Linked DNA regions of Drosophila melanogaster. The protein of the gene in region 2 purifies or fractionates together with the protein of the main gene of each other region. This does not show direct contact. Each region holds a gene or a part of one and is shown on either strand. Other genes may lie near its edges.

What was found.
Region 1: the proteins of Dis3 (region 2) and Rrp46 purify together in Drosophila melanogaster (affinity purification with western blotting, with the first as the bait; 2 studies listed by BioGRID). This does not show direct contact.
Region 3: the proteins of Dis3 (region 2) and Rrp40 purify together in Drosophila melanogaster (affinity purification with western blotting, with the first as the bait; 2 studies listed by BioGRID). This does not show direct contact.
Region 4: the proteins of Dis3 (region 2) and Rrp47 purify together in Drosophila melanogaster (affinity purification with western blotting, with the first as the bait; 2 studies listed by BioGRID). This does not show direct contact.

The regions. Positions count from the first base shown.
Region 1 is NT_033777.3:10,409,033-10,415,995, forward strand, and holds Rrp46 (Rrp46), read left to right. Parts: upstream 1-4,268; 5' UTR 4,269-4,340; coding exon 4,341-4,446; intron 4,447-4,511; coding exon 4,512-4,747; intron 4,748-4,805; coding exon 4,806-5,165; 3' UTR 5,166-5,200; downstream 5,201-6,963. Other genes in the region: Irp-1B (iron regulatory protein 1B), read right to left, coding at 1-625, 685-1,339, 1,408-1,524, 1,584-1,684, 1,747-2,257, 2,320-2,535, 2,597-2,766, 3,588-3,680 and 1 more; CG6345 (uncharacterized protein), read right to left, coding at 5,201-6,952.
Region 2 is NT_033777.3:24,330,587-24,340,165, reverse strand, and holds Dis3 (Dis3), read right to left. Parts: upstream 6,734-9,579; 5' UTR 6,674-6,733; coding exon 6,294-6,673; intron 6,242-6,293; coding exon 5,797-6,241; intron 5,734-5,796; coding exon 4,655-5,733; intron 4,599-4,654; coding exon 3,930-4,598; intron 3,873-3,929; coding exon 3,497-3,872; 3' UTR 3,133-3,496; coding exon of another isoform or gene 3,096-3,132; 3' UTR 2,918-3,095; downstream 1-2,917. Other genes in the region: CG6432 (uncharacterized protein), read right to left, coding at 99-611, 725-870, 935-1,245, 1,302-2,319, 3,096-3,132; Rrp5 (ribosomal RNA processing 5), read left to right, coding at 6,945-7,025, 7,082-9,366, 9,429-9,579.
Region 3 is NT_033779.5:1,724,758-1,731,588, reverse strand, and holds Rrp40 (ribosomal RNA processing 40), read right to left. Parts: upstream 2,858-6,831; 5' UTR 2,761-2,857; coding exon 2,062-2,760; 3' UTR 1,827-2,061; downstream 1-1,826. Other genes in the region: CG17652 (uncharacterized protein), read left to right, coding at 1-186; CG31937 (uncharacterized protein), read right to left, coding at 640-1,605; Eno (enolase), read left to right, coding at 3,756-3,943, 4,934-6,248. UniProt on the Drosophila melanogaster protein: Non-catalytic component of the RNA exosome complex which has 3'->5' exoribonuclease activity and participates in a multitude of cellular RNA processing and degradation events.
Region 4 is NC_004354.4:15,942,904-15,950,151, reverse strand, and holds Rrp47 (ribosomal RNA processing 47), read right to left. Parts: upstream 5,256-7,248; 5' UTR 5,097-5,255; coding exon 4,824-5,096; intron 4,756-4,823; coding exon 4,549-4,755; 3' UTR 3,903-4,548; downstream 1-3,902. Other genes in the region: mmd (mind-meld), read left to right, coding at 276-632, 1,158-1,785; CG8924 (uncharacterized protein), read right to left, coding at 6,097-6,802, 6,862-7,248.

The DNA.
Region 1 (6,963 bases), about 14 Mb from region 2:
TGTCCCGGCAGGAATTGCAGCGGAATGATGCCCATGCCCACCAGGTTGGAACGATGAATGCGCTCGTAGGACTCCGCGATCACCGCCTTGACGCCCAGCAGGAAGGGACCCTTGGCGGCCCAATCCCGAGAGCTTCCGCTGCCGTAGTCCTTGCCTACAACGAGGACCAGAGGAGTACCCTCCTCGCGGTACCGCTCGGCGGCATCGAAGATATCCAGCTCTTCCTGGCTGGGAATGTGCACGGTGCGGGGTCCTGTCTTTTCGACCAGTTTGTTGACCAACCGAATGTTGGCGAAGGTGCCGCGCGACATGATGGCATCGTTGCCACGACGCGATCCGTACGAGTTGAAGTCACGGGGTGTGATGTTCCGCTCGGACAAGAATCGGGCAGCAGGCGAGGTTCTAGCAATAGATCCAGCCGGCGAGATGTGATCCGTGGTGACGGAATCGCCTAGGAAGAGCAGGCAACGTGCCTTCTGAATGCTCTGCAGCTTGGGAAGATCTCTGGTCATGCCCTCGAAGAAGGGTGGTCGCTTAATGTAGGTGGAATCGGCACTCCAGGAGAAGAGCTTGCCCTCGGACACCTGCAGAGTCTGCCAATCCTGGGAGCCCAGCTCAATTTTGCCTGCAGATGGAAGTGAAATTAAACCAAACTCAAATAAAGATGGCGCACGAAGTACTCACTGTACACCTCCTGGAACATGGCGGGGATTACATGCTTGTTCTCCACTTCCTGTATCTCCGATCGCGTTGGCCAGATGTCCTGCAAGAACACATTCTTGCCATTGGCATCCACTCCCAGAGGTTCCTTCTCGAAGTCGATGTCCACGCGTCCTGCGATGGCATATGCGATCACCAACAGAGGACTGGCCAGATAGTTGGCCCTGGTGTTGGGATGGATGCGACCCTCGAAGTTTCGGTTTCCGGACAAAACTCCAGCACACACGAGGCCGTTCTTCTCGATGGTGTTCACCACATTCTCCTCGAGAGGACCGGAGTTACCAATGCAGGTCATGCATCCATAGCCCACAATATCGAAGCCCAACTTCTCCAGATAGGGAATGACTCCGGACTCTTTCAGGTAGTAGGTAACCACACCGGATCCAGGCGACAGCGAGGTCTTGATATAGGGCAGGATGCTCAGACCCTTCTCAACGGCCTTTTTGGCCAGCAGACCGGCACCCAGCATCACCGAAGGATTCGATGTGTTCGTGCAGGATGTGATGGCCGCAATGACAACAGATCCATGATGCAGTTTGTAGGTCTTGCCATCATCCCACTGGAACTCCCCAAAAGCGGATTGAGCTTCCGGAGCAATGGCGAATCCCTTGAAACCCACCTAAGGTAATGGTGGAGCAAAACAATGTTTAATTTAATTCCCTTTTTCTCAATGAATTTGAAACTTACTGGGCTGGACAGGCACGACTTAAAATCCTCAGGCATGTCGGAGACAGAAACGCGATCGTGAGGACGCTTGGGTCCCGAAACGGAGGTGACCACCGTCGACAGATCCAAGGTGATACTCTGTAGAAGGGATGTATGTTAGCTTAAGTTTTTAGTGGTATATGTAAGGCAATTTCAACCTGAGTAAACTTGGGATCTTGGGCCGCATCAGCATAGTTGCGCAGCTGCTGAGTTGCCTTCAGATACTGGCGAATGATGTCGATCTTCTTTTCAGACCGATCTAAAAAGTTTGTTATGATATAGGTAAAATATTGTTTTATGAAACAGTCTGGTTTTCCGTACTTGTCTGCTTCATGTAACCAAGAGTATTCTCATCGATGGGGAAGTATCCCACGGTGGCTCCGTATTCGGGACACATATTGCTGATGGTGGCCCTGTCAGCAATGCTGAGTTCCGCAACTCCCGGGCCGTAAAACTCCACAAACTTTCCCACCACACCCAACTGGCGCAGGTGCTTGGTAATGGTCAGCACCAGATCGGTGGATGTGACCAGTGGGCTCAGTTTGCCCTCCAACTTGTAGCCAATTACCTCGGGCAACAACATGGAAATCGATTGGCCCAACATCACAGCTTCCGCTTCGATGCCTCCCACTCCCCAACCAAGTACGCCCAATCCATTTATCATCGTGGTATGGGAATCAGTGCCCACCACACTGTCGGGATACAGAATCTTGGAGCCATCGGTTGCGTCATTCTCGAACACCACGCGGGCCAAGTACTCCAGATTCACCTGGTGGACAATACCGGAGCCAGGTGGCACGATCAGCATGTTGTTGAAGGCCTTGGCTCCCCACTAATTAGGAAAAACAATATTATTAAAAATACTATCTGGATAATAAGCTAAGGAAAAGTAACCTTCAGGAAGGTGAAGCGCTCCTTGTTGCGCTCAAATTCCAGTGACTGGTTCTTGGCCAAAGCATCAGGCGCACGGGCGAAGTCCACCTGGACCGAGTGATCGATGACCAAGTCGGCGGGGCAGATGGGATTGATTTTCTCCGGGTCGCCGCCCAGATCCAAAACAGCATCGCGCATAGCTGCAAAGTCCACCACAGCAGGAACTCCAGTAAAGTCCTAGTAGCAAGATATTATATAATTTAAATATTACTTTGCTAGATTGCCGTATGAAACTCACCTGCAGGATGACACGGGCCGGCTTGAAGGACACCTCCACATCGTTGGATCCCTGCTTGAGGGCGGGCGACCATCCCAGGATGCTCTGCACGTCCTTCTCTAGGATATGGAAGTTGTCGCAGTTGCGAACCGCCGACTCCAAGAGCACTCGGATCGAGTAGGGCAGTTGATCTACGCGTTGGAAATGTTAAGTGTTAATCAAAGTGTTTAGAATTTCATCACAGGTACAGTAAAGCCTCTTGGTGAGAGGACCTAAGACAATTTGCCGCACTAAACGTATGTATCTTTAAAAAACCTTTAAGTTGCACTTGTTGAATTAAAATTCACGAGTAGAGTAAAGAACCTCCCTTTTTCTATAACCGTCCACCTTAGTTAGTTTAAAGTGTGCTAGTCAGATAGCAGTCACTTCTTATCACAGGCACAATGATTACGTTTGTCCAGCACTTAATGCGATTCACAGGCGTCACTATATGGGAGGAGCCACCAAAGAAGCCCTCACCTCAGAACCCCGATTTCTGGACACGCGCGGTTCCAGTAAAAACATTCCACTGATCTTGAGATTTTTCGGAGTCATCGGACTACGACCCCAAATCAGCAGATCTGCGAAGTTTTAATTCGCTGATAAGTGAGCACGTAAAATTGGGAAATGGAAATCAAATTTCGGAGGCACACGATTCGTTATCACCGCTAGACGAGCCCCATTATGAGGCAATCTGGCGGTGATAACTTTCGCTTTCGGCGCAAGACAAGCCCGCCCATAGAAAACTATAGAAAATCCACTTAATGCTCCGGGAGCACCTTCTACTTGACATTGCCTGACTTGCAAATTGAGCTGTTCTTCTACGCTTCTTTTTCAATTCAGGGGTCAAACTCCAACTTCAACAGGTGCTTAATTAATCCCATTTTTGATATGCATGTTTAGCCTAGTTTATTGCGACCACGTAGACAGACACGCCCACTTTTAAAGCCTTCTTAAGACCACATCCACTTACCATATTTACTATCGATGGAGGCGAGGTCAAAGTACTTGTATGTTGTGCCGGCCTGGGAGAAAGTTTTCTCGAACTGGGCGAAGGGATTGGCGCCTGCGACGATACGAATGTGTTATATAAGCCACAGGATTCGGGGGACAGGGTATATGGTAGTCGAGGGAACTGCAAAGCTCCGGACTGGCAACCCACCTGACATCTTATTGGAACTCTTTACTGAACTTATTCCGGACGAGCAAAGCAAGAAACTGATTGGAGAAGCAGTTCGGATAGGAGCTGGCCAGCCTTCGCTGTCTATCGATAGCCAGCGATAGTTGCGTATATCGCCAGTCGGATCGACAGTGCATTTTATACATTATATATGGTGCATTATATTTTATAAAACGATAGCTTTATGTTCACTTCTCTTTTTCTAAAATGAGATTATAGTGTTCTGCGCTTGGTATGTTATTATCATATGTATTAAATGCAGTAATAACTATTCGGATATTTATGTAATACACCATCTTTTGAAAAGCCTGAAATTTGTGCAATTATCAGTAAACTAAATCGACGAAAATAATTGAAAGTTGTATAACATATGGTTCATTTTTAAAATGAAAACTCCACCCGCCAAACCTATCAGTAATCGACAGAGCTCGTGCAATCGCAACATCATATTGCACCGATATGTCGAGGGAAAATTGAAATCGTTATCGAAAATACGAGGCGATAGCACGCGCACGTTGTTTTCTTTGAATATTAGGAAAATATAATATGAATTTACCAGCGAAAATGGACGTGGAAAAGGATAAGCTTCGCCAGATGCACTGCGAATTCAATCCCTTGTCGCGTTGCGACGGATCCGTGATGTACAGCCAGGGTATAGCCGTGTTTTCAACTCTAGTACATGGCCAGAACCGGCTAACATGGTCTTGCCAATTTCAGGTGCTACAGGTCTCATAGGCGCAGTTCTCGGCCCCATCGAGGTGAAGACCCAAAACCTGAGCATAGATGGCAGCTACTTGGAGTGTAACTACCGACCAAAAGCGGGCCTGCCGCAGGTTACCGATCGGATTCGGGAGGCGGCCATTCGGGATGTGCTGGAACTGGCCCTCCTGTCGGAGGCTCATCCGCGCTCCAAGATGTCCGTGCAGATCCAGGAGCTGGAAGATCGTGGCAGTGTATGTTTTTGAATCTCCTTCATCTGTAATCCTTCTAACAATATATATATTCTATCAGATTGATGCCTGCGCCGTAAATTGCGCCTGCCTAGCCATGCTCATCGGAGGCCTGCCTTTAAAGTATAGCTTTGCGGCTGTCCACGCCATCATCAACGAGCAGGGCGAGTATGTGCTAGATCCGGACCAAAGTGAAACCCTCCACCAGCGCGCCAGTTTTACATTCGCCTTTGATTCTGTAGAAGGAAACCTTTTGTTGATCCAGACAAAGGGCTCTTTCAAAATAGCCCAGTTCAATGATATTGAGTGCCTATGCCTGGCTGCCAGTGCCGAGATCTTTCAGTTCTATCGCAACCAGGTTGCAAAGTATCATGGCAGGAGTGAGGCGACGGCTAAGAAGGAGGACGTCAATGAGACGTGATGTTAAAACAACTGAAACTACGATTAAAGCTCATTTTATTGTATTAACTGTCTGCTGTGAAAGTCGGTTATGTTGCTCAGCTCGAGGGGCGTGCCCTTCAGCACCTGTGAGTTGGATTCCTCAATGCGGACGGCCAAAAAGTCACCTACTCCAAACGATTTTCTGGCTGTGGAATCTCCAGATATGGGTACATATATAGAAGGAACTATGACCTTGATATTGGCATCATTCCGACCGAACCAGTGAGCATCGGACCTCTTGCTTTTCCCTTCTATAAGTATGAGCTGCTCCTGGCCTTCCATTTTACGATGTAGCTGTGTAGCTCCCTCTCGGAAAACCTGGACCATGCGCTGCAGTCGCTCATTCTTCACGTTTATGGGCACATCATCTTTGTAGCGCCGATGGGCAGTGGTCTTTTCTCGCATGCTGTAGGCGAACAAGTAGGCCACGTTGTACTGCACTTGTTGGATAAGAGATACAGTGTCTTGGAACTCCTCTTCCGTTTCACCGCAAAAGCCGCAGATAAAATCGCTGGACAGCCCCACGTTGGGCAAAAACTGTCTGATGTGCTGCACAAGTTCCAGATAAGCCTCTCTGCTGTAACCACGTCGCATCCTTTCCAGAACTTGGGTATTGCCCGATTGTGCTGGCAGGTGAAGTTGCTTGCACACATTCGGGTGATCTCTGATGACCTCCAGAACTTCGTCGGAGAAATCCTTCGGATGCGGCGAGGTGAAACGGATGCGCATGTCTGGAACAGCTTGAGCCACGGATCGGAGCAATGCTGCAAAGGGAGTCCCGCCTGTTTTGGGCTTGTAAACAGTGCTAAAACCGGGCACTGGAGTTGCTTTCAGTGAGTCCTGTTCCTCCTGCGCAGTTCTGTCTCTGTACGAGTTGACATTCTGACCCAGCAGGGTGACCTCCTTCACGCCCTGTTCCGCCAATGCCTTGACCTCAGCCACAATGGATGCCAGGGGGCGAGAGCGCTCGCGTCCACGGGTGAAGGGCACTATACAATAGGTACACATGTTGTCACAACCGCGCATGATGGACACAAAAGCAGTGGGCGATTCGGAGTTTAAGCGAACGGGCATCACATCCGCATAGGTTTCGTCCAGCGAGAGGAGCACATTGATGGCCGAGTTGCCATAATGCCGGGAGATAGCCAGTAGTCGCGGCAAATCCTTGTAGCTATCGGGTCCGGCGATTACATCCACACATTGCTCCTGTTCCAGCAGCTTCTCCTTTAGTCGCTCCGCCATGCAACCCAGCAGTGTCAGCTGTAGAGGATGCCTCCGCGTACTGCGTTTGTTCTTCATGGCTCGCAGGTGCTTCAATCGGTTCCTGATCCTCTGCTCCGCTCCATCGCGCACTGCGCACGTTACGAGCATTATGACATCGGCCTCCTCCGGCTCCTGGCATCTCAAATAACCATTCTCCTTCAGGATACTGAACACCACCTCCGTGTCATTCGTGTTCATCTGGCATCCGTAGACCTCAAAGTGGACCTTCCTTCCGTTTCCATTGAAATCAATCGAGTTCAGGTACGGCACACTGGTGTCCACATGCTCCTCTTCATCAGTTTTCAGTCTTGACGCAGGCTTGACCGCAAAAAAGTCTTGGAAGCCCGGTCCGCGTTGAATCCTCTCCAGAAAAGTTGCACGTGCTGCCGGCTCTGATTTTAGTTGACCCGCTGCGCTGGAGGTAACGGATGTCGTAGCTCCTTTCGAGGCAGTCGTGGAGGCATGCCGCACTTGGCGAACAAATGCCCGGTAGCTTATTTTCATGGCAGTTATTT
Region 2 (9,579 bases):
CGGAGGAAAACCCCCAGCCAAACTGGCTTACATTTTATTTACTTCTTGGGAATCGTATCGTACAAGCTAAGGTTAAGGTTGAGGGTCCTTGCAACCCATCAGTCGAGTAACTTGGCCACAATCGGATCCGGTGCGGTCATGGCATAGCCCAACTGGTTCAGAGCCCTCCGGATCTCGATGAACACGCTGGCATCATCGATAGTCGCCGGCAGGACAACGCGCTCATTGCGGGCAAAGTCCGCCATCGCCTTGCGCATCGTCTTACCGGATCGAGTGCGTGGCAGGTTGTTGACGGACGTGACCAGCCGGAAGGCGGCTATGGGGCCTACGACGTCGCGGATCAGCTTGATGATCTCCGTCGACAGCTTGGCATCGGTCTTCTTGCAGTTCTCCACCGGAATGTACAGGCACAGTGGTACCTGTCCCTTGGTGGCCTCGGGCACCCCGAAAACGGCCACGTCCACGACGTCCGGATGCCGAAGCACGGCGTCTTCCAGGCTAGAGGTGGACAAGCGATGGCCAGCCACATTGATTACATCATCGTCGCGAGCTGTCACAAAGATATAGCCACGTTCGTCCTTGTAGCCCGCATCCATTGTATCATAGTAACCCTAAGTGTAAGATAAAATAAAGTATCTTTAAGATTTCAGATATAAGCCATACACTATACTATAGTAACTAAATGATATTTAACAAGTTGTGGGAATTGCTTTTGGTGACTTACCGGAAACTTTTGAAAGTAAAGCGTGCGGAAGAGCTCTTCGTTTTTGTAAAGAGTGGCCATGTTTCCGGGTGGCAGTGGTAGCTTAAGAGCAATCCTGCCCAGCTCCGAGGTCTGCGCCTCGCTGCCGTCCGCTTTCAGGATCTTGACTGCAAGAGAGATGTCCCAGGACTTAAATCCTCACTCAGCCAAGCTAACTGGAGCATCACTCACCGTCGTAGCCCATGAGTGGCAAGCCAGTGGAGTAAGTGGGCGGACTGAGGTTCTGCTGGAAGCCCAGGCATGTGGCGGTGACCGCGGAACCAGTCTCCGTCTGCCACCAGTGGTTGAGCACGGGCACCTTGAAGGTCTTCTCGATCCAGGACTTGGTCTCGTAGTCGCAGTGCTCGCCGGCAATGAAGATGGCACGCAGCGACTTCATGGAGTACTGTCGCCCATAGCTGATGTCCGGATCAGCACGACGGATAACACGGAAGGAGGTAGGTACCGAGAAGATCGAGCGCACCTGGTATTGGTCGATGATCCTGAATATAGGTACAATTAATATGTGTAAGAAACAAGGTGGGGCATAACCACTCACCTAAAGTACTGACCCGGGTCAGGAGTACGGTCCGGTTTACCCTCGTACATAACACTGGTGGCTCCGAGGCAGAGTGGACCGTAGCAGATGTACGAGTGACCCACCACCCAGCCCATATCTGAGGCCGCCCACCAGGTGTGGCCAGGATTGATGCCATAGAGAGTTCTCAGCGTGTACACCAGAGCAACCAAGTGACCTCCGATGGTGCGAAGTACTCCCTTGGGCTTATCCGTCGTTCCAGAGGTATAGAGGATATACAAAGGATCGTTGGCCTCGATGGGAACACAGGCTATGGGCCGCTCGCCCTCCGCCATCTTAAGAATATCCGACCAGAGCACATCCGTCAGAGGATCCAGTTTGGTGGTATCTGGCGAAACATTATCACGCCGAAAGATTATGTTACGCTGCGGTGGTCGCCATCGCGACATGCTAATAGCTGAATGAAGGATGTCCAGGTAGGGCACCACTTTGCCCGGCTCCACGCCCACATTGGAGGCGATCACCAGTTTTGGTTCCACATGTTCGATGCGCGAGCAGAGTTCGCGGGCAGCGAAGCCACCGAAGACCACGGAGTGAATCGCACCCAGACGCACAATTGCCAGCATGGCAATGATGGTCTCCGGGATGAGGGGCATGTAGATCACGACGCGATCACCTTTGACCACGCCCAATTTGGCCAGGCCGCCTGCCAGCAGAACGATCTGGTCATACAGCTCCTGATAGGTAACCCGACGCAGTGTGCCAGTCAAGGGGCTGTCATGGATTAGGGCCACATTGGAGCCGCGGCCGGCCAGTATGTGGCGATCAATGGAATTGTAGCAGGCATTCAGGTAGCCACCCACATACCACTTGGTGAATGGCGGATTACTGTTGTCCAGTACCTTCTCCCATGGCCGATCCCAGTCGAGCAGGTTACCCTGCTCCTCCCAAAATGCAGCCGGATTCTGAACACTCTGGCGATAGGCCTTCAAGTAGAGAGGATCGTGAGCCTCCACCGGCATGCCGCATACAGATTCACCTGCGGAAAAGGTATAGCAGCAGGTGACCATTAGATGGGCGGGTTCATTGTTTCCTCTATTGGGTTAATCGCTGCTTTTAATTAGGCTATCAAACTAAATTACAAACCTTCCACTCCATACCACCTTACACACACCAGGCACATTGAATTTTAAATTTTCCAAATGTCGCGGTCACTCAACTGATTTCTATATACCCAACCTGGCACCCATGTACTGCACATATGCGTCGGGTGTGCGGCTCACCCAGACGCCGAGCATAATCCACACGTGATTGGCGATGGATATTGGACCTAAAAGCCTCCTTGTTGAATAAGCTAATCGAATTCATTAATATTTAGTGCCGACAGTTTGGGCGCACAACTAAACACTAATTAATCACTTCAAAGTCGCATCGAAAGTTCATTATTTTAATTGGCGAGCAGTGGTTTAAAACACAATATTTATCACCTTGAACTCTTGTGCATAAATTATCTATCTATCTACATCGCACTGCAAGAATCCAAGAATATTGTAAAAAGTTGGACTCCACTTAGATAGTTTTTGGAAAATTCGAAAATCTATAGAATTCATTTAGATCACAACGAAAGTTGGCATATTAGTTTTCCAAGCACTTTATTTGATGTTCTAAAAGTTGTTTATTTTAACTGATGTTTTCAATATGCGTATTAAAATATGTGTACCGATATAAATATATGTTCCGCAAAAATCACGCGATTACTCATTGATTAAATTTTTTAGCCTTTTCATATGAATTTCGAAACCTTTTTCGACTTACTGCCTTCGTAGTTCACTGCACTAGGACCGGGTTCCATTGTAACTTTGTATAACTTCCGTTCTTGTATATATTCAAGTCAAGTTAATGTATATATGTATTTATTATATATATTCTTTTTGAATTTTTTGGATCAAACGAGCTCAGCACAACCGTCGCACTGTAGTCGAAACTTTGCAATGGGTCTGGAGAATGTAGAACGCAAGTTGGAAACCAAAACCTTAAACAAAACACCCGATCAAAGGTATGCTTTCGAAACTCTCCGAGATCGGCAGAGCCGGAACGGTGGAAAAGGTTTACGAAACGGAGCGGAATTTAAAAACCTTACATTTTATTTATACGAAATGATTGTAGTTACACATCTTCAGCGTAGTCTAGTTCCACATAAGCAAAGATCCAAAGAATTACTTCTTTTTCTTATCCTTCTTTGTCTTTTTCGATGGAGGTGCCGCAGAAACCGCTTGGCTATCAGTTCCTTCGGTGGTCGTTTCCACGCTGAAGCCCTTGATGTACGGCTTGACCAGCCGGAAGATCAGCTTCTCGTGCTGCACATTGCTGGAATCCAGGCTAAGACGAACCGTGACTGGATCAAAGGAGTGGAACACCACGTCACCGCAACGCTGTGTATGATCCTCTTCGTTGAAGGTGAAGACAATCTCGCTCTTGACGCGCTCCACACCGTCCTTGCCATCCTTGTCCGACTTTAGATACAAAGTGCCTTCCAGGCCATACTTGGGGATTAGCACTTGCAGAGCATTCTTGCGCACAAATAGCACATATCTAGGGATGGGTAATAATTGAAAAGAATGTTGCCCACTAGTGGTTTCTTCGACTCACCCTTCCTCATCCTCCTCCTTGCCGCGGAAAAAGAGATGCGTGTTGAGGGCCACTGATGCGCGACCAGCGTACTGAGCCATTTTGTGGCGGTAGTTAAGATTATGACACAGCTCCTCATTTGACTTTCGGTCCAATAGCTGGGCATAGGTGCTATCCGCGCCGATTGAGGCGGCCAGCAGGCGATGTACCATAATGTCGGAGTAACGACGAATGGGCGACGTAAAGTGCGTGTAGATGGGAGCAGCCAGACCGTAGTGGAAGAACTCCTCCTTCTGCAGACTGCCGCTGATGAAGTACACTGCCTGCATCATACAGCGTGTGGTGAGGATGCGGATCATTGTGTTAAAGTACGGATTATCCGCCTTGACACACTTGTCCAGTGAATGCGACAGCTCCAGTCCCGAATTGATGTCCACCTGGAAGCCCTGGTAGCGCGCAGACTTTACCAGCGGATCGAAATTGGTAGGCGGTGGCCGAGGATGGCGACGCAGAACAGCGCACTCGGAGAACTCCGTTGCGATATGCTCGGCCACCGTGATGTTGGCCAGCAACATGAACTCCTCCACCATGGAATTCGTCTCGCGCATCTGCTTCACCTCCACCTCGAGTGGTTCGTGTGTCTCGCTGTCCACCTGGAAGCGGATCTCCGGGGAGGCAAGGACAAGGGCTCTGTAAATTATGGATGCCTTAGTTCACTTGATTACGAGGTGTTAATATAATCTTACCCATTATCCATTCGTCGCTTTTTCAGTATTTTGGCCAACCGATTAAGATTTCTCAGGGACTTGGCTATTTCATTCTGTTGCGTGGCATCGTCGATGATATTCTGCGCTTCCTCGTAGGTCATGGCACGCTTCGATTTGATGACGCTCTTGTGGAAGCGTTTGCTTAACACATTTGCTTCATTGTCCACTTCCCACACGCAGGAGAAGGCGAATCGCTCAACACCGCCAACCAATGAGCAGAGATTTGAGCTGAGTAACTCGGGTACCATGTCGATTCGTTTGCCCACCAAGTACACGGTGGTTCCCCTGGCCGCTGCCTCCATGTCCAGTGCGTTTCCTGGACGAATAAAGTGACTTACGTCGGCTATGTGAACGCCCACTTCCAGATTGCCGTTCGGTAGTTCCTTGCAGTGCAAAGCATCATCGATATCCGTGCAGCCCGGGGGATCCACAGAGCAAATGTACAGATCCCTCAGATCCACACGCTTGGAATAGTCCTCGTCAGTAATTGTCCAGGGCATTTTCGGCAAGAAGCTAAGCACTTCGTCCGAGAACTTGCAGTGCGGGACGTCGTGCTCCAGCAGGATAACCTCGTTCTCGGTGGCCATGTCTCCGAGCGGTCCCAGGGAGCGCACAAAATGTCCATGTGGGTAGCGCGAGTTGCGCGGCCATGTGTCAATCGTTACGATGATGCGCTGGTTCTGCAGCATTGCTGCCTGTCGCGTTTCGATACGGATGCGCGGAATCTTACGGTCGGCGGGCACAAAGATGTGCCGATTTGTATCCTCTATTAAGCTAGGCTGCAGGATGCCGCAATACTGTCGCCATTTCCGTCGCACAATACCGACAATTCGCCCTGTGGGCGTGCGCTCTGCGGATAAGGCAGCGGCACGCACCTGATTCAACATCTCATTTTCATCCTTGGCCCTTTCCTCGCTGGGCACTTCATCGGCATAGACATTCTTCTCCTCCAGTACAATTTCACTGGGTGCTGACCACTCCGCCTCGGGCAAAAGCTCCACGGCCACCAGGTCGCCATCCACGGCCCGATTAAGAGACTCGCGTCCTTGGATAAGGATCTATTAAACAGAAATCGTATTGTGAAGCGTATGCCAGGGAAGATATTTAGCGTTTTAACTTACCCCCTTTTCGAATTTCTCTACATTGACGGTGCCCTCCAAGTAGTTTTCCCTGGATGCCTGAAAAGTGCCCTGTAGTAGCTTATTTTGGCGCAGTCCTTCCAGCAGCTCCTTCATGCTGAGATGCGGCGGGTACTGGGGCAGACCATTCTTCTCGCTGTCGAATGTTTTGTGCGACAGCTTATCCATCAGAAGTGGAAAATCCTCGAGAGATTTCACGTACTCCGCTGCTGTGGTCACCAGAATACCTTCTGCTTCGGCCTTAGCACGATTGGCAGCATCATCTGTGAGCAGAACAACTCGCGTAGCAGCTTTGCCACTGCGCTCGAACTCTTTAGAGGATTGCGAGGCCTGCAGGTGATCATCGTACCACTTGGTGGCCAGACGAATGGCCCGATCATTGCGATCATTGGCGGTCTCATCTGGTTCGCGATCAGCATAGGTTTCCCTAGAAGAAGCACTATATTATAAAGGTTTCCCAAGAAAATCCATTAACCCACTTGTGGTGCTCGTTGACGAACACATAGAAGTTCCTGGTGCGGTCGTGGACGATCTCATTGAATCGCTTGTAAATGGCGGAGCTCCTGTGCTTCACCTCGTTGAGCACGGTGGTCAGAACGACTACGTTGCGCAAAACATCCTCCTCCAGCACGTCGATCTGGTCCAGAACCACATTTGTGTCCAAAACGAGATAGTGCGGGAATTTGAAGAGGGTGCTCTTATTCGCGTGCTGCGAGGTGAGCTGGTATACCTCGTTTTGGAAACACTCCCGGCACAGCTCGGAGCCGCAGCCGATGTCGTCGCGCAGATAGTGCTCCCGTACAATCTTCAGAATGTTGCCGCGCTTGGTTTTACGCGTAAATTCGCGTAAAGTTTGCATTTTGTTGAACCGCGTTCGAATTGTTACACCTTCACATGTGTGCCGGAATAGGGAGGCCCGTGCATGATTCGACTGCGGTATTATCTGCCTAAGGCCTGTTCACACTGCAGCCGCAATGGTCACAGTGGTTTGAGTCTACGGACTGCCCCGTATCTTAAGGTATAATTTAGTACCATTTATTGAACTGATTTTCTATATCGGCGCTTAGCACGTGTAGAACGCACGTTGCTCAAATTTTGTTATTTAAAACGCTAAATTACACAGCTCCCGGATGGTGCCGAACGAGAAAAGCTTTCCCCGAGGCGGGACAATCCACAGCGAAGTCAAAACCGACGACGTGAGCCTGAATATCGTGAGTTTAGCCAGCGAAATATCCGAGATCTTTGTACATACTTTTCTGTCCCACAGGTTTTCGGTGCCTCGCAGAAGAAGGTGAAGAAGGCGCCGAAAGTAAAAGAGAACCTTCTGAGCTACGAAACCGAGGAACAAAATGGCCAACTGGAGGCCTTCTCCGCGGAAACGCTCAATATGGACACGCTGCAGGAGGACATGCTGGTCATGGGAGTGGTCAAGGAGTTGACAGCCACCGCACTGCAGATCGCTTTGCCCGGTCGGATGTTCGCCCGCACCTTGGTGGCGGATATATCCGACGCCTACACCCGTGTGGCCAAGGCGGCCATGTCCGGAGACACCAGCGAGTACCACGACCTTACCGAGCTCTTCCAGTTGGGCCGCATCGTCTACGGCAAGGCCATCAAAACAGAAAAGCTGGACACCGGTCGGGTTAGCCTGCTCCTTTCCCTCAAGCCGGCCGATGTGCACGGTAATCTGCATCACAAGAGCATTAAGAAGGGTTTCATCTTCTCTGGCGCCGTGGCGGAGGCTCTGGAGCACGGCTATGTCATCGAGTCGGGAGTACAAGGACTTCAGGCATTCGTGCCATGCGAGAAGCCAGCTCAGAAGCTACACGTGGGGCAGTTGGCTTTCCTAAAAGTCAAAACCGTTCATCACGACACCCACCAGAGCACCTGCACCTGTGTCCAGGTGGAGCAGGACCAGCTGCGCATCAAGAGTCAAAACGAGACGAATCTCGACTACATTCTGCCAGGCAGCATTGTAAAGTTTAAGGTGGCCAAGCATCTGAAGGATGGCCTCAAAGGCAGCATCATGAATGAATCCTTTAGTGCCTACGTCAACGAACATCATCTAGCTAACGCTTTGGATACTTTGGATGCCTACGAGCTGAATGAGGATTACAATGCCAGGGTACTCTACGTGATGCCCCTAACCAAACTAGTGTACTTAACTCTTAATCTGGATATCAAAACTGGAGCTGCAGTAGCAAAAGATCAGGATGAGGAAGAGCAGGAGGTAGAGCCCATAAAGGTGGGTTCCGTGGTGGAAAAAGCCAAGGTTCTGCGCTTGGGCAGCGGTGGCGTGGTACTGCTTCTTAATAAGAAACTAAAGGGCATTATCTCATACGGTTCAATCAGAGGCAATTTCAAGGGAAATTATGACAAGGACGAAGTATTGTCCAAATACGGAAGAAAAACGAAGCATAAGGTTCGCATCCTAGGATACGATGTCATCGAATCCTTGTACTACTGCTCCGATGATCCCAACGTGGTCAACGAAAAGCTGTTCTGCCTGGAGGATATTAATGCCGGCGATCTGGTCACAGCGAAAATATTCAAGAAGGATGACAAGATCAAGGGCTGGTCGGTGAGGATCGGCAAGGTCAACGGAATACTGGAACAGTTCTATCTGGCACCCAATGTCCGCTACGATGTGGGTCAGTCGTTGAAGTGCCGCGTCCTAGAAGTTAATGCCGAGCGAAAAATCTGCTACGTGAGCAATCGTGCCGAGTATTTGGGCAAGGGAATTAAAATTCTGACTGATTATGCGTCCGCTCACGTTGGAAACGTCTATATGGGCACAGTAGTCCGATGTGAGGACACTTACGTCCTAGTGAAGTTCGGCAACGGCATCAAAGGAGTTTTGCACAGGCAGAATCTAAAGGAAAATAGCTCATTTTTCGAGGGACAAACAACTAAGTTCCGCATCCTAACACGCAACAAGGACCAAATCACTTTGACTTTGCCGGAGGACAAGTTCCAGCTTGGTGAGATCTGTCCCGTTGAGATAACCAATGCCTTAGACGCTGGACTGGAAGTTAAAATCACCTTCGCCGCCGAAGATGACGAAGAGGATGAAGATGGGAATCCAAAGCTGGAGGAGTTTGTGGGCCTAATTCCACTGCGATTGTTGTCGGATCACCTGGAGCTGCTGCACGCCCAAATGCGGGTCCATCCCGCTGGCTCTTACACCGATGCGGCCTGCATTATGCAGAACATCTTCAGCTTACGAGATGTCCCCTACTTCAGTGGCCAGCTCACCAAGGATTGGCAATCGGTTCAAGTGGGAGACATAATACGCTCTTATGTGAAACACGCCACCGACCAGGTGGTGGACCTCATGGTGTGTGTTCGCAACTACAATAAGCCGGTAAAGGTTCACGTCAAGATGCTTCGTCTGAATGCCGTGAAAAATGCGCCCGTCGAGCTAGTTCCTGAGCAACTGCTATGGGTAAAGGTACTCAGCAAGGAGGTGGAAACTAAGACTCTAACAGTTTCAGCAAAGCTTACGGATGTCTGGAGCGGGGATCTTAGTGACACTGCAAAACTGGTCGAAGGGTAGGTCTAAAATAAAATCTTATTGAGTTCATTAATTAGTTATTCTTTGAATTTCTTTACAGCTATTTAAATGAAGTTGCGCAAATAAAGGCAGGCCTTGAGGAAGCCTCCGCCCCTATTTCAAAATACTCCGTTGGGGAGAAAATCAACGTGGTGTTCAAGGGCATTGATGCGACCACCAATGACTGGGTCTACACAGTGGAAGGCAATGGC
Region 3 (6,831 bases), on a different chromosome or scaffold from region 2:
GAAACTGCAGTCAAACCCAAGAAGCACAAAGGGCCCAAGAACCCCAATCCATTGTCCTGCAAGAAGAGCAAAAAGGACAAGGCGAAGCAACAGCTCAAAGGAGTTGAGCAGACCGCAATAACCAAGGCGAAACGAAAACGAGTCAAGATCCCAGCGCACGTCAAGGCAGCGCTAGGAAAAGATTAGATTAGAATGGTTGATCAAGTAGATAAATATAAGATAATGCAAGGTAATCTGCAGTCTTGACAAATCATTATAATGTGGGAGGAGCTGCTTTAACTAGCCACCTGAGTGTAATATGCCCTCTTCTATAATGGCAAAAAAATCTATGCATCTGAACCAGATGATAGATTACTAAATTACTGGTTAATGACTTAAGTTAACTAGAATATTTTAGAATTCATAAATCTTAATTGATTATTAGCTTACCACAATATTGCTCACCAATTGAATGGGAGGAACTGTAGAATCCCACTGTGCCTGTGAAGATTATCGCGATTGAAACGCACACTCAACTTAATCTTGTGCACATATTTATATATTTTAGTATATAGTTAAGAATTATACAACAGTATAAAAGATGACTGAGAGCCGTTTGGAGCAGGAATAGGGAAGGGGCGAGGCACACCGGGGTTGTTCTCACAGTTTGCCCTCGCGAATCTTGTTCAGCGTCTTCTCGGTCATCAATTGAGCCAGAATCTTGCTCAGCGTGGGATTCCGGGCGCAGTAGGCCAAGAGGTTGACGGGAAAGAGGCCGCACCAGGTGAGATCCATCTTATTGGCCAAGGCAACGGCGAACAGATCGCCACATCTCTGGGCCGTCATCCGTTTCTGATTGGCCGTACTCAGACCCACCTTTCCGCCCTGCGAGCCAGTGAAGGCCTCCTGCAGGAAATCGGTGGCTATGGGTCCCGGTGCGAAGAGCGACACATCCAGCTTGCGCATCTCCACTTTCAGGGAGAGCAAGTAGGCGTTAAGGGCGTGCTTGGCGGCACAGTAGGTGGGTGAAAATGGCACTGGACTGAAGCCGGCGATGCTGGAGGTGGCAGCGATGTGTCCTCTACCGCCGTTCTGCTCCACGAAATAGCGCACCACCAGGCGGCTGAGGTGGACCACCGCAAAGACATCCAGTTCGAACAGCTCCCGGTCCACCTCGATCTCGACTTCGGTCCAACTGGCTCGCTGGGATCGGCCAGCATTATTGACAAGGACATCCAGTCGATGAAAGTGATTGAGCACCGTGTTGAGATGCGTCTTATGCTCGTCGAGATCGAGCATGTCCATTTGAATGACCAGCACGTCCTTGGTGGCCAGCAGTCCGCGAGCTGCAGCTAGGCATTCCTCTTGCACTTGCTCCAATTGCTCCAGTCGCCGGGCACTTAGCACCAATTTCACTCCATGCCTGGCCAAGCTGAGCGCCAAAGCGCGGCCAATTCCGCTCGAGGCACCAGTTATCCAAACCACCTGTCCGCGCATCGACGACAGCGAGACTCCGAAACGGGACTTGTACCACAGGGCCACATTGCAGTCGAGCAGGATCCAGAGGAGCACGTACACGACATAGTACAGCACGAGCAGGAGCAGCAGAAACTCCAGGAAGCTCATCTCGTTGGCTCTGTATGGCACGGCTGGGTCGGAGAAACCTTTGTCCTCTGCCGCAACGGAAGGCACTGAAACCTGTTCTTGGCCACACAGAAATCACTGCGAGCGGGTCTGATCGATCAGCTGTTGGTGGGCACCAGAGGTGACGCAGTGACTGCGGAAAGTAGTCACCTTATCTGACATAAAACCCTTATACTTGGTTTTTGAATGATGCTATATTATTTAAATACCTTTTGGTAGCTAGGTAAGGGTAGTACTATCTTTCTTGAGAGAACATGTAGAGCATAATCCAAGATACGAAAAACGCTTCCATCTGCTCATCTCTGATAGTTTTTTTACGTAAACGAATCAGGGCTTCCAACACACTGCCTTTGCGCCAACATTCACATCAAAATTCAACCCCATCAGTTTGGCTAACCATTTCTTTTTATATAAAAGTAAGTAAACTAAGAACTAATCCTAGGCCTGCAGGAAGTCTCCGAGATTGCCACATATTTTGTCGATTTCCGCACATCCCGATTGCTCCAGCGCTGAAATGGCATTGGCGAGGGCCACGGTTTCTTTCAGGGAATGGGCCTTCAACCATATCCTGCCGTTGACTCCCACAGCGATCTCGTAGGGCAGTTCCCGGGTAAGAGCGGCGAGAACAGGGCAGTTTTCCCGCAGCAGCATCCTTCCCAGATTCAGGCTGCACTTGAAGAAGAATCCATCGGTGAGGACGCCCAGTTTGCCACTTTTGCCCACCGAGTTGACGCAGACCAGCTCCGGTTCAATGTCCGCGCTTGCATTCAGGACTCTCGCGTAAATCAGATCACCGGGGATCAGATCCGGGCGATTCTTCTTGCTGGCCGCCTCAAAGGCGAGATACGATATGGAGGCTGTGTCCGTTGCTCCGATGTCCACGCGGTACAGATCGCCCGCCTTGGCTCGCACAATGCCCAGAATGAGATCCCCGCGTGCCGGGATGTACCTTCTCTGGTAGTTGTCCACCCAGAAGGTGCCGGGTTCCTTGTGTCGAAGTGGGCCCGCCTTGCTAGCCACCACCGTGTCATCCAGACGCCGCAGTCCCGGTCCGAGTATCACCCGCTTGCTCTTGGCCAGCTCCTCAATGGCCGCAATTCGCTCACCGGGCATAACTATTGTGCTGGTCGCGCTCATTTTAATGTTGCTTTTACGATTTGAAAACTCCAAACAAAAAATCCGCGTGTGTCTTTCAAAACATATGGTCAAGTCGAGGACTTTCCAACACTGCCATTGTCAGCCCTGGTCTTAAAGTTAAATTTAACAGTAGTTGTAAAGAACATAAATATTCAAATTATTTTTGCCCCTTCTTATTTTATTATTTTCAAAATGCTTACGATTTTAATTATTAAGATGAACTTAAAAAAGTAACAGAAAAATTATATTTAGTCAAATTGTAATTGTTCTATATTACTGAATGATCTTAAAAATGCAAAGAAAGTTTTAAAGAGCTAACAGCGTGTGGGCGGCAATGTTAACCAACACATATGCAATTTTTTCCCGATCAGCTGTGCTGCTATAAGCATAATCGTACGATTTGTTAAAATCCGCTTTGCATTTATTTGTTCTAATTTATGGCAGCTAAAAAGCGTGACTAACCACAAGTATGTGACTTTGAATGACCCGATTGTCCAGAAACCACGGGAACATTTCATTATCATTGGTTGTTACACTTCTCTTGACGCCATTTGATTGTTTATGCTTTATTAACGAGAGCATTTATTATTATGTAGATAGACATGCAATCCACAGCTACGTGTGGATCCCGATTACTCTAACCTTGTGCGAAGGTCAATTTTCCCCAAAAAATATAGGAAACGTACCAGGGAAAACAACAAAAAAGGGAAAGCGCACCCCCACACTGAAAACCGGCGAGCACCTGGAAACGCATACATATAAAAGGAGAGTAAATGTAAGTGTCCCTCTCTTTTCCACACTTAGAGATGGGCAAAAATACATCGCCTAAGCTGAGCTTTTAAAATTTATGAATATTAAATTTATCATATAGCTTGCAACAGAGCTATAGTTTCATGTAAGGTAACTAAAATATATATTTTAAATGATATTTTTTACTCCTTTATCAAGATACAAATTGGTAGCACTTTCGCCGCCGTCTTTTACACATTCAAGCCATGTCTTGGACCGCTTCAGTTTTCTTGAGGACTTCCACCACTAGCATGAAGTTTCTGCGTCTGCGCTGGCCTCTCCCCAGAATTCCCCAGAATAAATCGGCAAACGTTGCGCCGCGTTTCAGAAGCAAATCAGCAGTCAGCCAGCTCTCATCTGGATTTAAATTTGTGCAGATCCGCAAAAGTACTTGGTATGTATATTGCTAGACTCTTGGTGTGTGCTTGTGCATCCAGCTTAGGGAAAATATTTAATTGTTTTATCTGCGAACTTCACAAAGATCACCCCAATCGAAAGGGCTTGAAAATCGAGCGTTTTTTGCGAGCGATATCCGCGCGATTATCTAACAAATGGTGCTGTGCAAATTTTCAAGTGTCTCGTTTACGTATATTTCCAATCGATTTAATTGCACAAATCTAATAATTTCAATTGACAGGCATTTGTTGTATCGCTGTAGGGAGATACTTCCGTTTTTCGCAACTTTTCCACGTACTGCGGCTTCGCTGGACGCCTCACTTTGGGTCTGACCTTTAAAAGTAGCTTAGAGGTCATTCGGTTGTTCGGCGAGAGCAAACTGAAAACTCTCCCACTGAGATAAGCGGAAAAGCGGGAAATGCCGCCAGTGTCAGTGACTCTAAATTATTATAGAAATATTTAACTGAAATTTGAAGACAAATTAAATATAGAAAACTCAGGAGGGGCATTTCGAGATTATACCGTGGAGAAAGTCACACCCGAATGGGGATATATGTATAAGTTTACACCACTCACAGCTCAAATTGCAAGTGACTTACATGCTCACAGCTACAATTCTTTGCAAAAAAAAATAATTTTTTATTAATATCTAACCATATTTTGAGAACCAAGTCCAAAAGTATGTCAAAGGTGTATCTCCCATTTCCTTTCTAGTTCGTATTTCTTTTTCGACATATTTCCGAATATTTCACTGCATCACGAAACATATCATTTAACTGTCCATTTGGAACAATTTTAAATATAAATAAGCCCAACTATTTAAGTAATGGCGGGGATTTCGCAAATATTGTGGAGCACATCCGCCATAAAATCTGAATGGCTTCATCTGCGGTCAGCTATTTAATAGAACACCATGCCTAGATTTAAAGTCCTGATAACAGACACTAATTCGCCCTCGTGGACTTTGTTTTTTGTTTTTTGATTTCAGTGACAGCAACGAGATGACCATCAAAGCGATCAAGGCCCGTCAAATCTACGACTCCCGTGGCAACCCCACCGTGGAGGTCGACCTGACCACCGAGCTGGGACTCTTCCGAGCCGCCGTGCCCTCCGGCGCCTCCACTGGCGTCCACGAGGCCCTGGAGCTGCGCGACAACGACAAGGCCAACTACCATGGCAAGTCGGTGCTGAAGGCCGTGGGCCATGTGAACGACACCCTGGGACCCGAGCTGATCAAGGCCAATCTGGATGTGGTTGACCAGGCGTCCATTGACAACTTCATGATCAAGTTGGACGGCACCGAGAACAAGAGCAAGTTCGGAGCCAACGCCATCCTGGGCGTTTCCCTGGCCGTGGCCAAGGCTGGAGCCGCCAAGAAGGGCGTGCCGCTGTACAAACACATTGCCGATCTGGCTGGCAACAAGGAGATCATCCTGCCGGTGCCCGCTTTCAACGTGATCAACGGCGGCAGCCACGCCGGCAACAAGCTGGCCATGCAGGAGTTCATGATCCTGCCCACCGGCGCCACCAGCTTCACAGAGGCCATGAAGATGGGCTCCGAGGTGTACCACCACCTGAAGAATGTGATCAAGGCCAAGTTCGGTCTGGACGCCACCGCTGTGGGCGATGAGGGCGGCTTCGCCCCCAACATCCAGTCCAACAAGGAGGCTCTGAACCTGATCAGCGATGCCATCGCCAAGGCCGGATACACCGGCAAGATCGAGATCGGCATGGACGTGGCCGCCTCCGAGTTCTACAAGGATGGCCAGTACGATCTGGACTTCAAGAACGAGAAGAGCGACAAGTCGCAGTGGCTGCCCGCCGACAAGCTGGCCAACCTGTACCAGGAGTTTATTAAGGACTTCCCCATCGTCTCGATTGAGGATCCCTTTGACCAGGACCACTGGGAGGCCTGGTCCAACCTGACCGGCTGCACCGACATCCAGATCGTGGGCGATGATCTGACCGTGACCAACCCCAAGCGTATTGCCACCGCCGTGGAGAAGAAGGCCTGCAACTGCCTGCTCCTGAAGGTCAACCAGATCGGCACCGTCACCGAGTCCATTGCCGCCCATCTGCTGGCCAAGAAGAACGGCTGGGGCACCATGGTCTCCCACCGTTCCGGTGAGACCGAGGACTCGTTCATCGGTGACCTGGTCGTCGGTCTGTCCACCGGCCAGATCAAGACCGGAGCTCCATGCCGCTCGGAGCGTCTGGCCAAGTACAACCAGATCCTGCGCATCGAGGAGGAGATCGGCGCTGGCGTCAAGTTCGCCGGCAAGTCGTTCAGGAAGCCGCAGTAAGCGCAGGGCACTTCGAAATTCCAACCACACCAGCCCCATCGAATGAGATCTGGATCTTGGAGAGGGAGCTGGACGCAGTAGATCCATGGAAAGGCGGCGGTGCACGTGTTCGTCAACCTTTTACGTTCGGAACTTGTGTCTGGCGCACAAATACATCAGAATTAAACTACCAAACCCATTTGCTGTCTCTATGCTTCGTTCTTAGACATTATTAATTAATGCTAAACCTTGATCTAATCATTATTTATAAACAAAAGAATAAAAAACACTATGTGCAAGATATTCGTTCAGTTGCCGAGAGCTTTGAATATCTTCAATGTAATCGCTGTAATCGTTATGAAATTATAAATTGATCTACACAAACACCAAATCCACAAACAGACAAGTTATTCACTTCAAAAACGGTTATGAAACAATTGTTGAGACATAGAATTTAAGCGAAAGCTGTTGGAATATTCTTATCGAATATACACGGTGTTCAATAGAGATCTTAATCAGATGGAATAGTACACCAAATATTAAACATATTCAGATTTGTTAGTTGATGTGAAATAAAAAGTATAAAAGTTACTGAATTCTTTTC
Region 4 (7,248 bases), on a different chromosome or scaffold from region 2:
TGCGTTTGACATTGCTCTTAAGTTCTCCTCATGGCTATCGGTCTCTGTTTTGGTCTCGGTTTCAGGCTCAGTCCAAATCTCGTTTGCCTATCGTTTCTACATAGCAGAACCATAATAATTCAATAAATTTCCAAAAAAAAAAAAAAAAAAAAAAAAAAAAAAAAAAAAAAAATCCCAAGTCCCAAGTCCGAAAAGCAGCAAATCCATAAACTCCCATGCCACTGAATAATTTGATTATTTGCTTGCCTTTTTTTTCTTATCCTTATCGCCTATAGCTCCAATCAGCAAATACCACAATCTCAGAAAACCGCTACAATTCATGCGTCTTACAGCAGAAGCTGTCGTCCCCGTTCCGATGAGGAGTCCCGATTCACATTCGGTGGACGCTACCGACAGCCGGCATCATCTGGACGCCATGCGCCGCACCAGTCGCACTCACCCCACGCATTCGGACATCATACGCACCACTCCCATGCCCATGGACATGCCACGCACGGTCCACACTCGTCCCATCACTCATCGCACACCCATTTGCAGCAGGAGGACGAGGGCATCTACGAGACCGCTGACCACCACGAACGCCAGGTGGTCGACGCTCGACTCGACTGCCACGAGACACCAGATAGCGAGAGGTAGGTTTGAGTCACTATTACTGTCTCTTGGTTCCATTGCCAGGCCATAATCCACTATCCTGACCACGTAAACGATGCAGCCAGCTGAGCGATCACATATTTGATATGATATGATATGATAAGATATAATATATAATGTTCAGAGAACCCTTCAGTTCAGGAGCTCTTCCATTTGAACCAAGACGATCTGCTGCTGATGCATCGTTTATTACCAGCTCAGCAGTTTGTAGCATTTGATTTATGCCCACATATGATGATCCTCCACACCCACAGTTTCCCCAACCCAATTGGCCTGTAACTTCTAGTTTATGGATAGTTTCCCATTGATTGATTGTTTAGATGTGTAATTCAAATTGAATAGCTCGATTGAGAACTAGACGTAGCATGTGACCATACCATTTATCCATCTAGACCAATTCCAATTCCGATTCCGATTCCAATCCCAATCCGAATCCGCTTCCTCGATGGCCCCCGTTTGATTTCTTACCATGTGCCGTTGTTCCTGCTACGATTATTATTTTCTAGTGATGACTTTATTCAAGCTCAACAACAGTTAGCCCGGTGGGCGAGTGAGGATGTGGTATCCGTCGTGGTATTGGACCAGCCGCCATCCGGTACAATGTCGGATTCCCAACCATACATCGACGTCGGACCCATTTCGGGGGCTATAGCTCAGCAGCAGCATCCGCATCAGCAGCAGCAGCAGCAGCAGCAGCAGCAGCATCCGCATCAGCACCACGGCGATCATCATCAATCCTCCGCAGCGGCAGCGGGATCGGGATCGGGAGTGGCAGCGGCGACATCGGTGGCCAACAGTTCTATAATGGCTTTGCCAATCGTCCCAAATGGTATAAGTGTAAGTCAGAGGGACTACTATCCATCCCCGCCCTCAACGGAAACGGAAAGCAGTGGAAGTGTTATCCAGCCGCCCATTCGTCGCGGTTTGCAATCGGCGGCAGCAGCAGCAGCGGCGGCAGACACGGCGGCACTAAGTCAGCATCAGCAGCAATTGCAGCTCCTTCAGCTGCCAATTTATCAGCAGCATCCGCATCAGCATCATCATCCGCAGCAATCAGGCGATACCAGCAGCAGCAACAACAGTCAGTCCGAACAAATCATCGAGAATGGCTGCTACCCGGAATATAAGCATTGATATTGTTATCTATATGATAGAGAAGATCATCCTCATGGTCCATATGATCCATGCGATCCATGCGATCCATGCGGTCCATACTGCATCAGAAATCGCGCATAGATCAACAATCAGCCACGCCCACTCCACTCACATGTGCCCGGAGCCAGCGCGCAGCTAGCTTTCTCTCTAAATAAATGAAATTTGTATCGACCTTTATGATTACTTTAGCATAGTTACCAATACGTTGCTCGTGTATAAGCACATAAATAAATGAATTTAGCCCTAAGTAGTTAAGTAAATAAATGTAAATGTGAAGACAGCAGACAAAAACCAAAACAAAACAAACTAGTTAACGTAAAATGGAGCGGAGTAAAAGTTAGCACACAAATTGAAGCGAGATGGAAATGGGAAACTGGAAAATGGGAAAATGGAAAATGGAAAATGGGAAAATGGAAATGAATATGGAAAAACAAACTTAACAAGCAACAAAAATGTGTATTCTTATGTGTGAGTGGTAAATAAATAGCCATACTTTATTCATAGATTAATAACAATTATTAAGTGAGTGCATCCCAATTTATATTCATAATCGTATAATGATACGTATAATGATGAGAGACAACAAAAACCGAAAAATGAAAGCAAAAGCTAACCAAAACCAAAACCGAAAACAACAGCAACCGCATTAACGAAATAAATAATTAAAAATTGGGAAATATTTACATATTTTTTGCATACCTCGGACCAAGCAATGGAATGCCAATGTTCGAGTAGGAAAATCTTTCAAAAAAAATAAAATAAAATACAAAACAAACCAAAAAACAAAAAACAATGACCGTAAACAGAAAACCACAAAAAAGAATAAATAACAAAACCAAAAAGACAAAAATAAAAATAAACACAAAACGCAGCTGTAAATATGAAAATTAATATTTATGCTAGTTAGTAAATTATACGATCCTTTGCTGGACGTGTAGAGAACTTGAACATTTCGATGGTCACGGATAAGCGGCAGGAAAAATACAATTGTGCACTGGGCCCAGCCCGGGCTTTAAAAAACCCCCTTATTGGGGCAATCTTACACCGACTGATAGAAAATTTTGGGCTATATTGCCAGTTCTCGTTCAATAATCTTAAAAAATGGAAAAAACCAAAAAACCAAAAAACCAAAAAACGAAAAAAAAAACCAAATGGAATGAATAACAAAAACGCTATATACATAAAAAATAATTAAAGTAATTCAAGAAAACGTGAAAACATGAAAGCGGAGAAAAAATAAATCGGAAATATTAATATCTGTATGGTTAAAGTATGAATATGATCAACATAAAGTTAAGGACAATGCTAATGTTAATTTATCGGTTTTGAAACATCAGTAATATATCGTATTGTACCGTAAATTAAGCCATTTAGAATGAAACGTACGAATTAAAATTATTTTCCAGCTTTACAACATCCATTTGTCTTCATTAGGGTGACCAGGGCTTTCTTCTATGCTGAGTTTAAAAATATTTCGCAGCAATGATTCCCAGAATCGCACGTCGATTCCAACCATTGTTGGACCACTGCATCCGTTTCTCATCTCCTTCGCTACTTGTCAAATGTCTCTGAAAACCAGGATCACAAATATATAAGGTAATATACATAAGGTAAAAAGTAACTTTCAGAAATAGAGCACTAGCTGAGTAAAGGGTATCTGATAGACGGGGAACTCGACTATAGCATTCTCTCTTGTTAATATTGATTTATTAATCAACTATATCCTAATTTAAAAGAGGCATTAAAGAAATTTAAAAAAATATATATACATATGTATATAGTATCTTGTTTAAGTGCTGGATAATAAGTAGGCGATATTTTAACATTGTTCCTATGCAATACTATTTTTAATTAGTCAATGATTTGAACTTTGATCTTCTTCAATACTATTTTTGACATTTACACTCAATGTGCTCCAGAAACGACACCTTTAGGATTTGCTCCAAACATTTTTTTTTTTTTTTTTTGTTTTTGTATATATCATTTGGAAAGCCGAGTCCCAACAATAAAATCTTAATCTATGAGGTAAGCAGCAGTATCAGATTTTGAAGCACCTTTTGGCGATAGAATCTATACCGTCTTGACTTGACTGATCAAGGGCATGACAAAGGATGGGGCAAGGAGCTAGACGAACGAACGGTACGCAGGAGCTTTTTATACAATAAAGGCGAGGAATCCTGCGGGTGGGACGCCTCGCAGATTTGCTGTAGTCTTCGAAAGGGCGAAGGGTCCAGCACCTCGGAAAGTTGTGCCTCTCCAACTGGCCTTATCCACAGGAAGGAATTGTCGTCGAAAAGGTACATATAATCATTTTTGTCCTGCATGCACAAAAAATTGGCGATAAACATTGGGGGAAGACGTTGTTACGACGCGGTCTTGGAATCTAGGAAGCCCAGAATAAATGGCAGAATGCTGCCATATTCATACAAATAATTCTGATTTCATTTTTCTTCGTTTTCATTTTTACCTAGATTAGTTTATTCATATACAGAACGTTGTTGATATTCATTTAAAAAACAAACAGTTTCAGTTTGTAAACCCAGTTTCATTAAGGTGTACTAACTTGACTTCTTTGATGAGTCGATTGCTTGTGACGCTTGTGTTTTGGATGGTTCAGTAAGAAAATATCGTGTTTTCTATACATTTTTTAATACAACTGTCATTGTCTAGCGTAACGACGAAACAAAGGCAAATGATCCTTTTAGGCTGCTATACTATAGAATCAACACTTTGTGATTTTAATTATTTGGGAGTTTCTTGCTTGCTTTTATTATATTGTTTTTCGGAGACCATAACTCCGTTCATGTCCACAAATCGTGTGTGGGTTCCAGCTGCGATAAATCGCTTGGCAGCGGGCATATCCAGTCTTGGCGCCGCTAGAGCATCGTTTATTTTCTTATCGCGGGCAAGTAGGTCCCTTGTACGACGCAAATCGTGCATCACAGCATGCTGAAATGGAATCATTAAATGATAATTGTCGCCATGTGAATTGTGTATTGTGTATATATTGCACTCACATTTGAGGCATCTTCACCCTGCAGTTTCAGGTATATGAAAAACAGTGTGCTGTTCAAGTACACAAGGTAGCTATCCAATTTTATTTGTTCATTTGTGTTCAATGTGCGTTCTGCCTGTAGCGCCAGTGCCTTCTCCGTGTCGGCTTCCAGGAGTTCGATGCTGCTGTAAAAGGTTTTCAGGATGTGTTGCATGTTTTCGTCCTCTCGCAGGCTTGTGTCCAGGTAAGCGTTGCAGGGCAGTCCATTGTCGACAGCTTGATTTTCTTGAGCCATGTTCTTTAAATGGAATTAAAATCGCGTGCGAATGTTTATATCTGGCTTAGGCTTACAGTGTGACCGTTGATTGAACATGAAAAGAAATAGATTCTATGAGAAGTATTCAAAAAGCGCCGTTTCCACTTCAACATTCTGCGCCTGCACTGTGCTAATCTACATACATATGTACAAATATAAAAAAAAAATGATTGACAGTAACAGTACAAATTTCAAATAATAAATTTAGCAAAAAAAAAATTGTTGTTACTTTGAATGCATTTAAACTTTTATTGCCCAATCATCTCGTACACAGTACTTATGTATTTAATAATACTTTCACAACGTAATTTATTATTGGGATTCTTGCATTTATGGCCAATTGTTATAATGACCAAAAAAAATAAGCAAACAAACAAACCGAGTAATTGTAAGCAAGTATTGAAGATTTGCGTATTCTTGTAGGAAAAGTACATGGTTTTAAAATAGATCGGATGTATTTGACCAATAATAATTACTTTACATTATTATTTAGTTTAAGCTGTTAGCATTATGATTATGTCTTTTACGACCTTCGAGTTTATTATAAATTTTCATCTTATCTTTGCAATCACACGAATACCCAGTAAAAGTTTCCAGGTCGATTTTATTTATCTTATTAACAATACAGTAATTCCTTAAAGTACTGGGGCGACAAGAAACATAATTGAAATTTTTACGCAAGTTTTTAGTCATAATCCTTGTTGATAGCATACATCTACTGTAATTTCTTATGATTGCCAAAGTAAAATGAATAATGATTGAACGGCAAGAGTTTTTCAACCAAGGATAAAACTGTGGCATCTCCAAAGCGTAATTAAGTAAACCTATGTATAAATTGTATTTTGTTGACTATGTTATGACTAAAGATCCCACACGAGCCGATGCGTACCCCGAAATGAAAGAAAGCAGCTACTGCTTGGAAATCCCTCTCTATTAATACACGCCCTACTAGTACAGCACAACTTGGCAAATTGCGTGGTTAGATCATGTGCAGCTTCTGATCGTTGAGTTTGAATGCCGCCGCATCGCTATGGAGGTGAAAAGGCACAATATCACCTGTTGTGGCCATATCAAATGATGGTGACATAGACGTTGCCGTTGCAGTTGCCGGACTATTGCTGCCACTGGTATTTGCGATGCCCGCCTTGAGATGTAGGCTGTCCATGGACATTTGCTGAGACTGCGTGTGAGGAAGGGGATTGGTGTGGATATGCGGATGGGCTGGGGGATGAGTTATGCTCGCTGGGACGGTTGAGAGTTTTCCTGAGTTTGTTGTGATTATTATGTTTCCGGCATGGGAAGCACCACGTCCACGTTTCCGCTTCGGAAGAATTCCTTTTCGCGCCATATAGAAACGAATGGTTGAGACAGGAATATTGAACATATTGCTGACAGTTTGGAATGTCTCGCCCTTCGAAACACATTTGGCCGCTTGTGCTAGAGATGCTTCTGAACGTCGAACGCGCTTATATGAAGTATAACCATCGATCGAGCTATGGCTCAGTCCTCCGGAAGTATTGGCCGATGTATCGAGATCAGTGTCAAGGCTGAGGGATAGCCCGGATCCGCATGGCACTCCTGTCGCAAAACTGCTGTCATTGTTTTCATCATGAGCGGCCACATAGTTGTGGTCGTCCTCAACATTTGAATCCAAGTATTGCTGCTGCTGAAGCTGCATTTGCATCCTGTGAAAAGATATATATATTTATCCAGAGATACTTGTCATATTAATGCAAAAACAAACCTCGCCTGCTGCAGGGATAGGTGGACATTCATTTTGTTGTCAACGGCTTGCGCAGATATATTGCAATCATCGAATTGCTCCCCGTAGGCATTCCAATTGTTCGGCACCTCGTCGCCGGAGTCATCCTCGGTTGGTGCATTCGAGTGGCTGCCCAAAACGTTCGTAGAGGTGGCCTTAGATGGCTGTTGAGCATTACTGCCATTTATCTGGGGTCGCTGCTGCACCTGCTGCTGCTGCTGCTGTTGCTGCTGCTGCCGAGCATCGGGATTCTGGCGCTTCAATACTGTGGGTTGCTGATGGTTAACCGGTAGCGGTGGAGCGGAGGAGGTGGTCATTGTTGTTGAGGTGGTTGAATTAGTGGCTGCATCGTCCGTTTCCGCGCTGTCC